Linked DNA regions of Drosophila melanogaster. The gene in region 1 interacts genetically with each later gene. Each region holds a gene or a part of one and is shown on either strand. Other genes may lie near its edges.

Evidence for each region.
Region 2: of l(3)mbt (region 1) and pum, changing one suppresses a phenotype caused by changing the other (phenotypic suppression), as found in Drosophila melanogaster (one study listed by BioGRID).

The regions. Positions count from the first base shown.
Region 1 is NT_033777.3:27,267,085-27,274,975, forward strand, and holds the start of l(3)mbt (lethal (3) malignant brain tumor), read right to left. Parts: upstream 6,190-7,891; 5' UTR 5,927-6,189; intron 5,858-5,926; 5' UTR 5,757-5,857; intron 5,113-5,756; 5' UTR 4,690-5,112; coding exon 4,059-4,689; intron 3,290-4,058; coding exon 1,685-3,289; intron 1,617-1,684; coding exon 1-1,616. Other genes in the region: CG5934 (uncharacterized protein), read left to right, coding at 6,747-6,801, 6,879-7,231.
Region 2 is NT_033777.3:9,233,819-9,238,964, forward strand, and holds the start of pum (pumilio), read right to left. Parts: upstream 3,208-5,146; 5' UTR 2,992-3,207; intron 847-2,991; 5' UTR 44-846; coding exon 1-43. Other genes in the region: D1 chromosomal protein, read right to left, coding at 4,701-5,146. UniProt on the Drosophila melanogaster protein: Sequence-specific RNA-binding protein that acts as a post-transcriptional repressor by binding the 3'-UTR of mRNA targets.

The DNA.
Region 1 (7,891 bases):
CCAGAGGCGATAGTTTGGCAGGAACTGTGGTCCATAGTCCTTCACAAAGGACCTGGCTATGGCCAGGGAGCGTTCATCCGGCACCTGCTCCGCATCCTCCTCCTTCTGCATCTGTTTCTGCTTTTTCACAACCTTCTCCTCACAAGGAGACGTCTTTCGCTTGGCTTGCACCACTTCCGCGACCTTCGGGTAGACAATCTCTTGTTGGGAGTCCTCCTTAATGGCTTGCTTGGCCTCCGAACAGGCACGCTTTGTTTTCTTCGCCCATCCACGTCTGATATTCTCGGGGGCCACACGCGGCGGTTTCACCGTTTTGGAGCGCCACTGACGCCAATTTTCCGGCGCATACGGACAGCATTCCCGCAAAGCATGCACGTTGAGGTTGAAGCGCTTGGCGTTGCCAAATCCCCGACATCCCTCCACATCGCAAGGCATCACGGACTTGGGCTGAAGATAGCCAGGCGGGGTTTCCAGTTCGTGCGAGGTGGCCTCGCACCAGCCGATGGGGTGCAGATCGGGACTGTCGTCCTCCAGCCAGAAGTAGTACTCCGTGGGCCAGCAGTCCAGGTGCAGCTGAACCCGGTAACCCTTCCGCGTCACCACGGTGGCCGGACGAATTAGGCAGGGATTACGCTGGTCCACCACCTCCAGTTTCATGCGTTCCTGGTACTCCATTGGCTGGCGTGGTGTGAACAGCTCCTTGGAGGCGGCCATTCCACCAACCTCTGATATGTAGTCATCCCAAATGAAGGCAGACTTCTGGTAGTCCGGCGGAACGATCAACTGCTGGCGTCCCTCGTGCCAACCGCAGGGATGGATGTACGGTGAGGTGATGTGTACCCACAGGTCGTAGCAGTCATCCCAGCCGTCGAAGTGGACTCGAATGCGCTCGTCCAGAATATCCGTCACTGTGGCCACACAAATCTTTCCCGTATCGTTCAGGTCCTCCGCCTCGAGATGCATGCCCACAGCGAAGCCGTTGCGCACATCCATCTGCTGCTGCATATTCAGATGACCAAAGAGCGCCCGCGGAGCTGCCTTGCCGCCCGTTTTCACCAAATAGCGGCTCCAACTGAAGCGCTCCGAGTTGTAGTCCTTAGGCGCCTGCAGAACGCGTGCTGTCTCATCGCACCAGCCTGGCGGAAAGATGTCCTGCGAGTCGGCGTTCACCCAGAAGTCGTACATGGAGGAGTAGCCATCGAAGCTAAGCTTCAGCCGATAGCCGCGCACCTCGACAATGCTGCAGACACAGAAGAGCGAGCAGTTCTCCGGATCGATGGCCTCTAGCTTCATGCCGATCTCGAAGCAGTTGGGACTGATGGGGAACGGATTGAGGAACAGGTGGATGGGCGCTGCCACATCCTTTCCCTTTGACTTGAGGTACTCGCTCCAGCGGAATGGCTTTCTGGGCTTATCCTTTTGACGTTGCTGCAGCTGTTCCTGTATGGCAGACAGAGATTTGTGTGGTTTGTAGTTGGTTTGCCGCTTTTGTGGCAAATCTGGCGCTGTTCCAGCTGTTTGCTCTAGTTGGGTACGGCTTATCTTGCTCTCCTTCTGCGTACTCTGCGGCAGACGACGCTTCTGGGATCGACGCACACAGCCAACGGAGCAGAAATCTGTAGGAGAAAATAATATATAATATATATAGAGTTTGGGGACTTTGGTAGCTGCTCTCTTTACTCACGTGGTGCCAGAAAGTCGGCGGCGGGTCCGTGGAAATTGCAACGCTGGCACAAGTACAGCAGCGGATGGACGCAGGCCGAGGGCCTGCGGCCCGGACGATCATACAAAGGCCGCTCGAAATATGCAGCTGGACCCTGGCGTGGCTGGCAGCGTTCGTTTATCTGCAGAAAATTGAACTCATTCAGCTCGAACCGGACGGTGGAGTTCTGCAGGTTGGCCGGCTGCTGGCCGCGCCATTTCAACATGTTCAGGTTCTGCATCATGCTCTTTTTAAAGTCATTGGTCTTGCTGCTAGGAGATGGGTTCGCATCATGGTCGTTGGCTTTCTTGGCATTCTTTGCAGGTGGACTTGATGGCTTCGGATCGGCGAGTTTGGGCGGCGGCGACATTTCCGATGCGTGAGAGCCGCTCGAGGATGAGGAGGATGACTTGGGCGGAGTTTGGGGCACCTGCTCATCGCAACGCAACGAGCGTTCAAAGTCCTCCCTGCTCAGTGGCAGAGATTCCGCCTTGATGATGCTTATGCCAGGCAGCATACTGAGTTCCTTCTCGGTTTTCTTGGTCGGTACCACCTCCACATCGCTGTAGGACGAACTGTCGCTGGAACTAGAAGAGATTGTCGTCACGGAGGAGTTCTTTCTCACGGCCTTTTTCTTGGCCGTACTGGTGGTGGAAATGGTTATTCCTGCGGGCAGAATGGGCATGGGGATCTGCTTCTTCTTCGGCGCCTCCTGCTTTTCCGGCTTCTGATTCTGCTTCGGCGTCTTCTTAATTTCCGGCTTCTGCTGCTCTTCCTCGCTCTCATCATCGTCTTCAATGGTGATGGTCTCGATTGCCGCACTGGGCTGCTCGATCACATCCACCTCCTTGGCCATAATGGCCACCGAGTGACGTCGCTCGTTGTTGGCCACAGGCGAAGCGGGATGGTTGGACACGAAGGATTTCGACCGCTTTAGTTTGGGCAATTCCTTGGGCCCACATGGCGTATGTTGAGCGATTTCCTTGACCACCGGTGGTTTGTCCATTGTCTTCTGTTTCTGCTCCTTGGCAGGCGCCTTTTTCTCCTTGGCTGGTCCATTTACGGACATCTCCAGAGGTTTAGGAGTTGGTTTGGGTGCTGTCTTGATTGAGGGCTTTGCAGTGGGCTTAACGTCGACCTTCTCTGGAGATGTAACAACTGGCGCCACTGCCGGCACAATGGGCGCTTCCTGGCTGGGCAGCGGCACTGCCTTGATGGCCACGGGCTTGGACTTAATTAGGCTCATTTTGTTGTTATCGGCGGTCGGCACCTCCGTGGCAATGGGCATAGCCGTTTTGGGTGCCACAACTGGCTTCAGTTGGCTGGCACTAGTATTCTGTTTGTTGTTTTTCTGGGTGCTCCTGGTCTTATCCTCTCCACTGGGGTTCGGCGATGTCAGAAGTTTCTTCACATGATTGGCCTTGCCGAGAACGAGTGCATTTGGGTTGCTCTTGACCTGGCTGAACTTTAGACGCAGCTTATCCACCGCCACCTTGCTGAGTATGAGTGGAGCACGTGGCTTGAGGGGATTGGCCAGCAGGGATACCTGCGCACCCGGACCCGTGCTGGGAATCTGGACAGGTGTCGCTGTACGGTTGCATCCAAATGGAGAGCAGAAATAAAGAAAGATAGAGAAACACGAATTAGCTTTGAATTTTCTTTAATTAGTCACCCGAAGGCAATCCGATTGGATCCTCCATTGAACCCGAACCCGAACCCGATCCCCGCACCGCCGCACCCTCACCGCACCGATCGACTGCGCTCTGACAGTGCTGATCCAAAATCTTCTCCTCTTATTGCAGCTGCAAAAACCTGATCGTCATCATCAGTGTCGCTTTGCTGGTGCTGTTGTTGTTGTTGTTGTTCTCGCTGGCACCCCGCCTTTTGCATACTGCTATTGATAAAACCAGCATATATACATCATATATATTGGAAATAGCAATAAGTTCTTCGTGTTGCTTCTCCAATTCGTACCGACCCAGTCATGGAACATGGCACCCACCCAATTCGATGCTTGGAACTTATTTTCCGAAAATGGCACACGAACACAAACCCTATTAAATTGGTGTTATGAAATGTGCAGCCGTCGAACAACAACTAAAAACTAAACCCGCAGACTGATGTGAACAACGAAAGTAAACTATAAAGATTGCCCCGCACCCCACACGCACACTCACACACACACTCGCGCACACACACACACACACGCACACTTTTGCAAGAGTGTTTCCCATTTTCCGACTGGCCTCGGATCTGGGGGATCTGTTCTTCCTCTTCCTCTCAGACTGGGGAAACCCACTTGTAACTCATAACTTACATAACTCGGAAGAAGGGGAAACCGAAACCCTACACTTACCCGCTTGTATTTTCGGTGGAACGACCGTTTTGCCCACGAGCGTTAAAGGTGCTCCTCCAGTTCCGCCTCCAACGGCGGCTGCTGCAGCCGATCCTCCTGGCTGGATGGGCTTGTTGCTGGTCTCAACGGTCAGGCTGTTCTTGTGCAAAGGTGTTCCGGAGCGTATGACCACCGGTTGGCCATTGGATGCACCTCCGCCAAGCAGCGTGGTCTTGCGATTGGGGGCCAGAATGGCCACCAACGGTTGGCTGGGATTACTGGGCGATGGCACCAGCTGGAACAGGGGAGCATCTGCTGATCCGACAGTGGCGCCAGCTCCAGCGGACTTTATGGAATTTGGCACTATGTTGACCGACTTTAGTTTGGATTTCATTGGCTGGACATTGCTGATGGTGATGTTGCAGGTCTTGTTGCCGCCCATGGGCGCCAGGGGCAGGAAGCGTAGCTCCTCCTTGCGCGGAGCTAGTGTGAGGAGGCTGTTGGGATTTGGATTTCCGCCGGAGGCAGAGGCAACACCATTGCAATTCGCGGTAGATGGTGAGATGACTCCTCCATTCGCTGGCGACATGGACAATGATATATTGCGCTGGAGCTGCTTGGCCTCCGCACTGGCCATCGACAATGGCAGCATTTTGAGCCGTTTATGCTTAGAGCTATGGATTTTTGATTTCTTTTTTAACCAGCGGAAATCGAAGTTATATTCTTGTCTTTACAATGTTTGTACGTTGAGGCGCACAAAAGTTTTTGGCATTTTACACTCCACACCGGCGTTAGTATTTTTTTGTATTCCCCCTTTTCACAAAACTATTTGGCAATTTGTTATGTTCTCGATCGCGCGATTTGTGCTTTATATCCGTATATTCATCAATCACTTTTCTCTTAATCAAAATCGCAGAAATTGTTAAGTTTTTGAATTAAAGTTATTGTTTCGCGCGTTTCCTTGCTCTCATTGTTCGTGTTTCTCGGTTCTGATAATATACCAACATTTGGTATTTAAATGCACAGATTGCGAATTAGTTTTAAATATTTACGGTTACTTTGGGTTTGTTATTACCTGAAAAAGGTTAAGTTGGATTTAGTTTTGGATGCTATATAAGGATTTTAAAGCTGCAAAAGCATGGTAATCAGAAAATAGCTAGCAGGTAGCAGTTGCTTTGCAACTTGTATGCATATTCGCTGTTAATAGCCAATCGCCATCTGTCCCAATAAAAAGGGAAATATCTAGCAGCTTAAAGTCATTAGTTACAATACCTGTGTTATCCTACCTTAATATTTCTGTTTATTGCGCTTGCTTTTTTTTTTTTTTTGTTTTTACAATTTACCCGCGGCCATTGGGCAAAACCTCGTTGCCCCAGTACGGCCACACTGCACGTATATTGAATTTTGATACCATTTTTAGTTATGCTGCCCAAAGATTTATGTTATCTCAAAAACGACTAGAACCTAAAAATAGCTCCTCTGGGCTTTGAATCCCATCTCACGACCACATTTACGAGCCCTTGATGGCTAAACCGATCCGATCTCCCAGCCCCATGTTACGTAGCAGCCCACCCAATGTCACAATAACTGAAACCTCTTATCTTGGTTCGGATGAACCACTGGCCAGGGAATTTGGTCTAGGGCCCATGGAATGCGTCTTCATTTTTCACTTTCAGAGAGTCTACAGGTTCCGCTGCCAGGATCCAACTGTTGACTTACCCGCACGCGATTCGTTTTTGCCCGCGGAGCGAAATGAAATGTACAGCCGCGGAGGAGGCGGAAACCAGGATATCGGGATGCTGTTGGCTTGCCGAACACGGCTGGAATGATAGAAGTTCAGAAAGTCAGGTCGCGAGTGTCGAAAGGTGGGCCAGGATATGTAGGCTTACCTGCTTTAACCGTATGATTCGATTGAACTGCAGTTTGTTGCTGCGAGGGTGTTACTGCTCGTTCGACCTCGTAAATGCAGGCAAAAACGAATGGCCAGCGAAATCGGGCGGAAAATCTTAACAATTTAAGCACATTTTTCACCAGGTAAGCCAACTAAAGCAGCTCGAAACATTACGCAGTGCCATCGAAACGGAAGCGTTCTGTCGTTCAACAATATTAAAAACTGCAAAAGCATGTGTGTATTTTAATTTCTATGATCGAACGGCTCAGGTGGCAACTCTGGTTGCCGATTCGTGTGCGCCCGATGTCGGTTATTTTGAAAAGGCGGAAATAAAATGGTAAATAAACGAAGCCTTTCTTGTTTGGTGTTAACTGTTTTGGAAATACGCTACTTAGCAGCCTTAAATGCTTAAATTAATATCAAGCGATGGCTTTACATGTACCTGATATTGTAAAATAAGTGCAGAGGAAAATTTCGCAATATCCAACAGAGCTTTTTACCTTCTCGGAACAATTTTAACGAAAAGAGTTTGTCCTCTGAATAGTTGTATATATTTAAAACCGCACATTAACTTAGCAACTTTATCAATATTTAATTGCTTCAAAGATTACAAAATACAGCTTCTTCTTCTTCTCCTTAAACTTCTGTTAGTACTGGAAAACGCCGCTCATACTAAACAACGGCAGCGCCAGCAGCTAGTGTTGGCCAACTTCCCAAAGGGTAGTTTTATTTTCGTGTCAATTGTTAAGAGAAATTTGGCAAAAGTGAATAGAGTTTAAGTTTTATAGAATAAAGAGTACCCCTGAACACTGCCAGCCATGTCCCTGTTAAACAATGACGACAGCATTCCCAACATGGACGAGGATCCACAGGGTAAGTGAAAACTGGAGGGAGTGGGTGGAGTCCCGAGTGATGATGTTATCAATTGCTAATCCCCCCCAAAAACGCAGTGGTCATTCCGGACGACGAGCCACCGGCGACGGGACGAATGCCCAGTGGGAGGTCCATGGACTCGTTGCGTTCATCGTTCACCAACCGCAGTTCCACGCCAGATTCATCGCACAATTCGCTGGAGGCCATGGAAATGGCCCAGGACGATCGGGAGGAGAAGGCCCGCCTCATCACACAGGTCCTGGAGCTGCAGAACACCCTGGACGACCTGTCGCAACGCGTCGATTCCGTCAAGGAGGAAAATCTGAAGCTGCGCTCCGAGAACCAGGTGCTCGGCCAGTACATCGAGAACCTGATGTCGGCCTCATCGGTGTTCCAGTCCACCAGTCCCAGTGCGGCCAAAAAGAAGTAATCTTCTATAGTCAATCGACCCACCGGTACTGGAAACCAAAAACCTTCTCAAATATGCCTTCTCGTTCACGCTAGAGCTACATGTATATTTTAATCTGTAACACTCGAAATTAAGCTATTGCAATGTTATTTCAGTTGCCCGATTGTCGAATTTGTATTTGTTTAGGCTTAAGCTTATGGCGCGCTATGTATTTTATACATAGAAGTAATTAATTTATATAGATAATTAATAAATCAATAATACCCCACGCAATTTAAGAATTTGAAAAGGAAAACGGGATGGCAGCACTGCCAATCCAGCTGCTTTTAGAGGTCGCTTTACTAAATAGCCATGATCGAATTGCAAAACTTACAACAGAGTGACATTTTTAATTAAATAATAAAATGTATTTATTTGTATAAATCTTAGCAATTATTAGAAAAACACCTGCTCACATTTTATTTGAAAATTTTGAACTGCCTACCTACACAACGGCCTGGCAACTTTGGTCGGCCAGCTGTTCGTCGTGGTCGTGCAACAACAAATTGAGCAGTGACTTTTCGTATTCGAATAACGTAGAAAGCGTGTATAAGTCGTAGTCTCTGCTCGGAACATTTTAAAACCAGTCCAAAACTATAGGAAAAACAAGAAAAGTGATCGTGCTTACACCAGAACAGTTGA
Region 2 (5,146 bases), about 18 Mb from region 1:
CTCCGCGGCCATTGCGATCATCGTTACCACCCAAAAACTTCATGTGTTGCTGGTGTTGCTGCTGCTGCTGTTGTTGCTGCTGCTGTTGGTGTTGCTGGTGTAGCTGTTGAAAGTAGGGCGGTGGTGGACCGTAATGTTGCTGCTGCTGCTGTTGATGTTGCTGATAGAGTTGCTGCTGCTGCTGCTGCTGCTGCTGTTGGTGTTGCTGCTGCGGCGAGGGCGTCGATATGGCAATTGTGGGCGCGGTTAGGAGCTCAATTTTGGAGGCTTTTCCTAGCTATCGCAGCTGACAATTTTGCGCGTATTGCCAACTTGAATTGTATTTTAACTTGCAGCACAAAGAACCACACGCGCGTTTTGCAACACTATTCGCTCGGAAATATTCACAAATGTTACATATAATTTTTTTTTAATTTTCGCTTCAGATTTACACTTGTTTTTTGCTTTTATTTATTTTGTTGTAAAAGAAACCACACTTTTTGCTTAATATATTTAATATTTATTTTACAGGCTTTGCTGAGATTTTTCACACACTTTTTGATCAAAAAAATTGAATTTGCTTCGTTTGGTTTGGTTGTCGTGGTTGGTTTGTTTTTTTTTTTTTTTTTACATAAATTTACACAAAATTATGAATAATATTTTACACAGTTGCACAGCTGTTGTTTTTGGGACTTAACAAAACTGAACTTTATTTATTTAATTACGTATGAGAATTGGTTAAAACTTGAATTTTTACAGATTTCTTGTTGAGAATTGTGGAATTTCCGTTTATTAATGTAGTTTATTAATTATAATTAGGATGAATTTTAATTTACACGACGTTTTAATGATGAAAATATACACAAACTGCAATGAGAAATTAAAGTGTAAACTGTGATTAGTAAACGCAGTAGTTTTTGGAAATAAATTGTTGAGAAATTATCGATTTCGAATCAAATAACTTTTTATATGATGCTAGTTTTTATTCCCAATTCAATACGACACTCGAACCACTGTACTTTTGTGCGATTAAAAACTTTGAGCTGGTCATGGTAAAGAAAAGATTCCGATAACACAGACAGCAGACAGGGCACATAATAATAATCAACAAAATAAAACGCACAAGGCACGCGTAAAAGCAAAACAATTTCTTCTAAAACTGAAAGACGACTAAGGCAAATATTAGCCATGATTTCCCCATTACGAAAACAATAACAAAGTAGATGCCGATAAGTGGTGAATTGCGGGGGGGGGGGGGGAGTGTGTGCGTTGCGTTTACGTTTGAGGAACAGGAGCCCCAAGAACAAGTCGCAGAAGCAGACTATCCATAGAAGAACAACGCAGCGCTGAATCATGCTCGAAAAATACGGAAAATATAATTTGGTTTCTTTGAAGACCGATTGGATTAATACTCTTAATAAATTACGATGCAGGCTAGTTTTATCAGTGACTATCAATACATAACTTTTCAGACTTTATCTATTCGTAAGTGCTTAGCAACCGTAACAAAAAGTTGGCACACGATAACAATGGCGTTTATGTTGCAGTTCCAAAAAGGTTTTAACGAAATTTTATAAATCACCATTAGGACCATTGCATTTCAACATTATGAAAATGATCTTTAGATCTGATTATTCAAATCCTGTTTTACTCTTTTAACATGAAATTCTATAATAGTTTGGGATTATAATAATATCCATTGTACAAAATATGGAATCCAATGAAAACAGAAACAAAATCCCTTTTTAAAATCTGGTTACATTGTAGATCGGCTTGTTTAACATCTAAGAATTTATACATATCTGGAAAACTTGTGAACAGAATTATTGTTATAGCGCCTCCCGCGGAAAGCACACGGAAAGACGTATAGCGGCTTGTTTAACATCTAAGAATTTATACATATCTGGAAAACTTGTGAACAGAATTATTGTTATAGCGCCTCCCGCGGAAAGCACACGGAAAGACGTATAGCGGGGGGTGGTGGGGCGGTCGAAAATGGAAAACATATAAAATTAACATACACACAGAGGAGCAAGAACAACAACAAGAACGATGCCGGCAGACGATGAGCGAATGCGACAGAACGAATGGCGAAGAAAACGAAACGAAGACGAAGGCGAAAGGCGGCCGCAAACATTTGAGGTTACGTTTTCAGCGAAAAGAATGCGAGTGGGTCGGTCTTTTATTTTATTATTTTTTTTTTTGTTTTTGGGTTGTTTACGAGAATTATATCTCCATTTCTCCCTTTCGGTCCTTTCGTGCCTCCCAAGAAGCCCCCCAAAAAAGGAGAGACAAGTGCAGCATGCGAAAAGGAAGAGAGAGAACGCGAATGCTGTGCCCCTGGAAGCTCGCACACACCCACACTTCTAGGGGAGGGGGGTATATATAAAAACAAACATAAAGATAAACCATAAAAGAGATGGCGGACAAAACAAAGGAGGTGCGGCCAATAAGTAATTAGGAATTAAAACCATTTGAATTGTTTAATATTTTAGTTGGTAGTTAGGCGTTCTTATTGGGAAAAGCACATATATACAATTGCAAGGCGTCCCGAGAGAGAGAAAGAGCGAGAGAGCACACACACACACGTAAGAGGGAGCTGAATGGTTTGGCGGGGGGACGCGGGGAGAAGGAAGAAGCAGAGCAGCCAAATGGCCACCGCTCAAAAGGAAGAACACGATGGTATAAGGAAATAATGAAACACACACATTCGCACACATACGCACAATCGGAAAAATTTGTTCACCAACCAAACAAAAAGAAAGGAATCATATAAATTATTCAGGCACACACTTAATTGATTTTTACCTTTTTCGGGCAAAATACGAATTAATTTCGCAAACTATTTATACATGTTTGCATATGTACAAAAAGCGGTCTGGAAATGCACACATACACTCATGCCGCCGAAATGGAAAAGGAAACCCGATGATGACAATGTAAAACGAAACAGGAGTACTTTACGGTTTTTAGCTGTTTTTTTTTGTTCATTTCCTTTTTTGAAACACTTACACATGCACTTAAAAAAGCCTTCTCGTTTGCATTTCCATTGATTTGATGGTGTGTGTGCTTTCGTTAAATACGAAATTTAGATTATTTAAATTACAATTATTTACACAGGATGATGAAGAAGAAATCGGCCAGGAATTTCTTCAACGTCGCCGCCGTCCGTCGCAGAACGATAATAAAAGCGAAATGCAAAGACACACTGGCCAAATACAACTACAACAAAGAGCTAGAGAGAGAGGAGAGAACAAGAACCCCCCAAAATGAGAGCAGTGTTGGCAAACGTGCGAAATCAACAGAGAGAACGAGTGAGCATGCCCACAGAGTGCGAGAGAGAGCAAGAGCGGGGGTGCGAGCGCAAAAGACCGACAATTTATTTTACTTTTATTAACATGCGCGCAAAATATTTATATAAATTGATTACACATTTTCTTGTTCTTTTATCATCACCCCCTTTTTTATATTCACCCTGGCAAATGAATTACGCTGCCCCAGCCAAATTGTTTATATATTATTTATCAATCGATTTTAGGGGCATGCCAAATTTGATCAGACGCCAGTCGCACACAAACACACACTTGAGCACACACATTCACAGACCAACACTCGCGCATACATACACACGCACCAGGGTGTTTGTTTTGTTTTTGTTTGCGGCTTTTTTTTTTATCAATTTGTGATCTTTTTTCGCAGCCGCAAATTTGATTGTGATTTACCGCCGATTGGAAATGTAAACAATGCTGTCGAACTATCAGCATAAGGCTGGCAGTTTTAAAATACTTTTCATATTTTATAGCTGTTGGGTACTCACACCTTAGCTTATTTGAAAAATTTACATATTACAAGCACGCCGTTCTAGGTCTGCTTCTTCTTACGCGCGAACATTTAGTGTGACCGCAGCTCGACCGTTCAAATATACCATTGCGAAGCGCACTGAGAAACACTCTCCAATAGTTCTAAGATACCAAAAATTTAGCATACTACTATATGTAAGTTATAATTTCATTTACTATCCCATTAGAGAAATTAATTGATTTTTATGTTCTATAATGCATTTAACTAGTTGCCCTAGTTTTAATGTTGTTAAAATAGCATTACAACAATTACCGTTTATAACTTCACTTTCTTCAGAGTGACCATATAATGTAAAGTACAGTGAACACTGTATATAAAGAATCAATACAACCATGGATTTACATATTTTTCCATCTGGTTTATATCAATAGATAATATATGTTAAATGATATATATAAAAACTAAATTACACAAAATTTTTTTAGGTATAGTAGGTTTATTTAAACTTGTATACGATTGAAATTTCTGCAATCAAATCAAATTTGTTGTTACAATAAAGTTCAGTTCTACTTCGGAACTTGAAATCTTCCCCAAATATGTTATTTATGTGTTATTTATTTGGTAATTTCAATCCAAGTTGAAATCGTTTTCCGAGCTATGTGTCGTCATTACAGTGCAGTGCAGTTGTAAACGGTTTGTCCGATTTCTCAGCAATAAATCGGAATATATATGTAGACAAAGTGTGTTGTTTTAGGAGGGGAAGGTTCTCTAAAGTCCAAGTAGGTCCTATCCATTTTTGTGTTTTCTTCTCTTACTTGCAGATTTTTTTTCGTTTTTTTTTTTTTGCTTTTACAACATTCTTTTTTTTTTGTGTTGATTTTTGGGGAGGGGTGTGTGGAAATGTTTATAAATTGTATGTTTTAGGCAGCTACCGATTCGGAATCGTTGTAGTTATCCGAAACATAACCGTCGTTGGCATCATTTTCGCCATCGGAGTTCCATTTGAGGCCATCTCCTTTGGTTGGTGTCCCATCCACGGCACGGTCCTCGTCGTTCGACTCCTTCTTGGAGTTGTGTTGGCCCTGATCGGCGGAATCAGCATCATCTGCATCGTCATCAATATTTTTCGCTGGGCGACTACGGGGCTTTGTTGTTTCCTCTTTGGACACCTTGCCAGCGGCAAGAGAGGGACGTCCACGTTTCTTCGGCGCCACTACCGTCTTCTCAGGCGAGCTGTGTTCCTCCTCCCCGGAGTTCTCATCGTCCTGATCGTCGTCATTGTCCTCGTGCTTCTCGACGGGTGCAGCATTGGCCTTTGGACGACCGCGCGGACGACCGGTGGGTACGTAGCCAGTACTGCCACCGC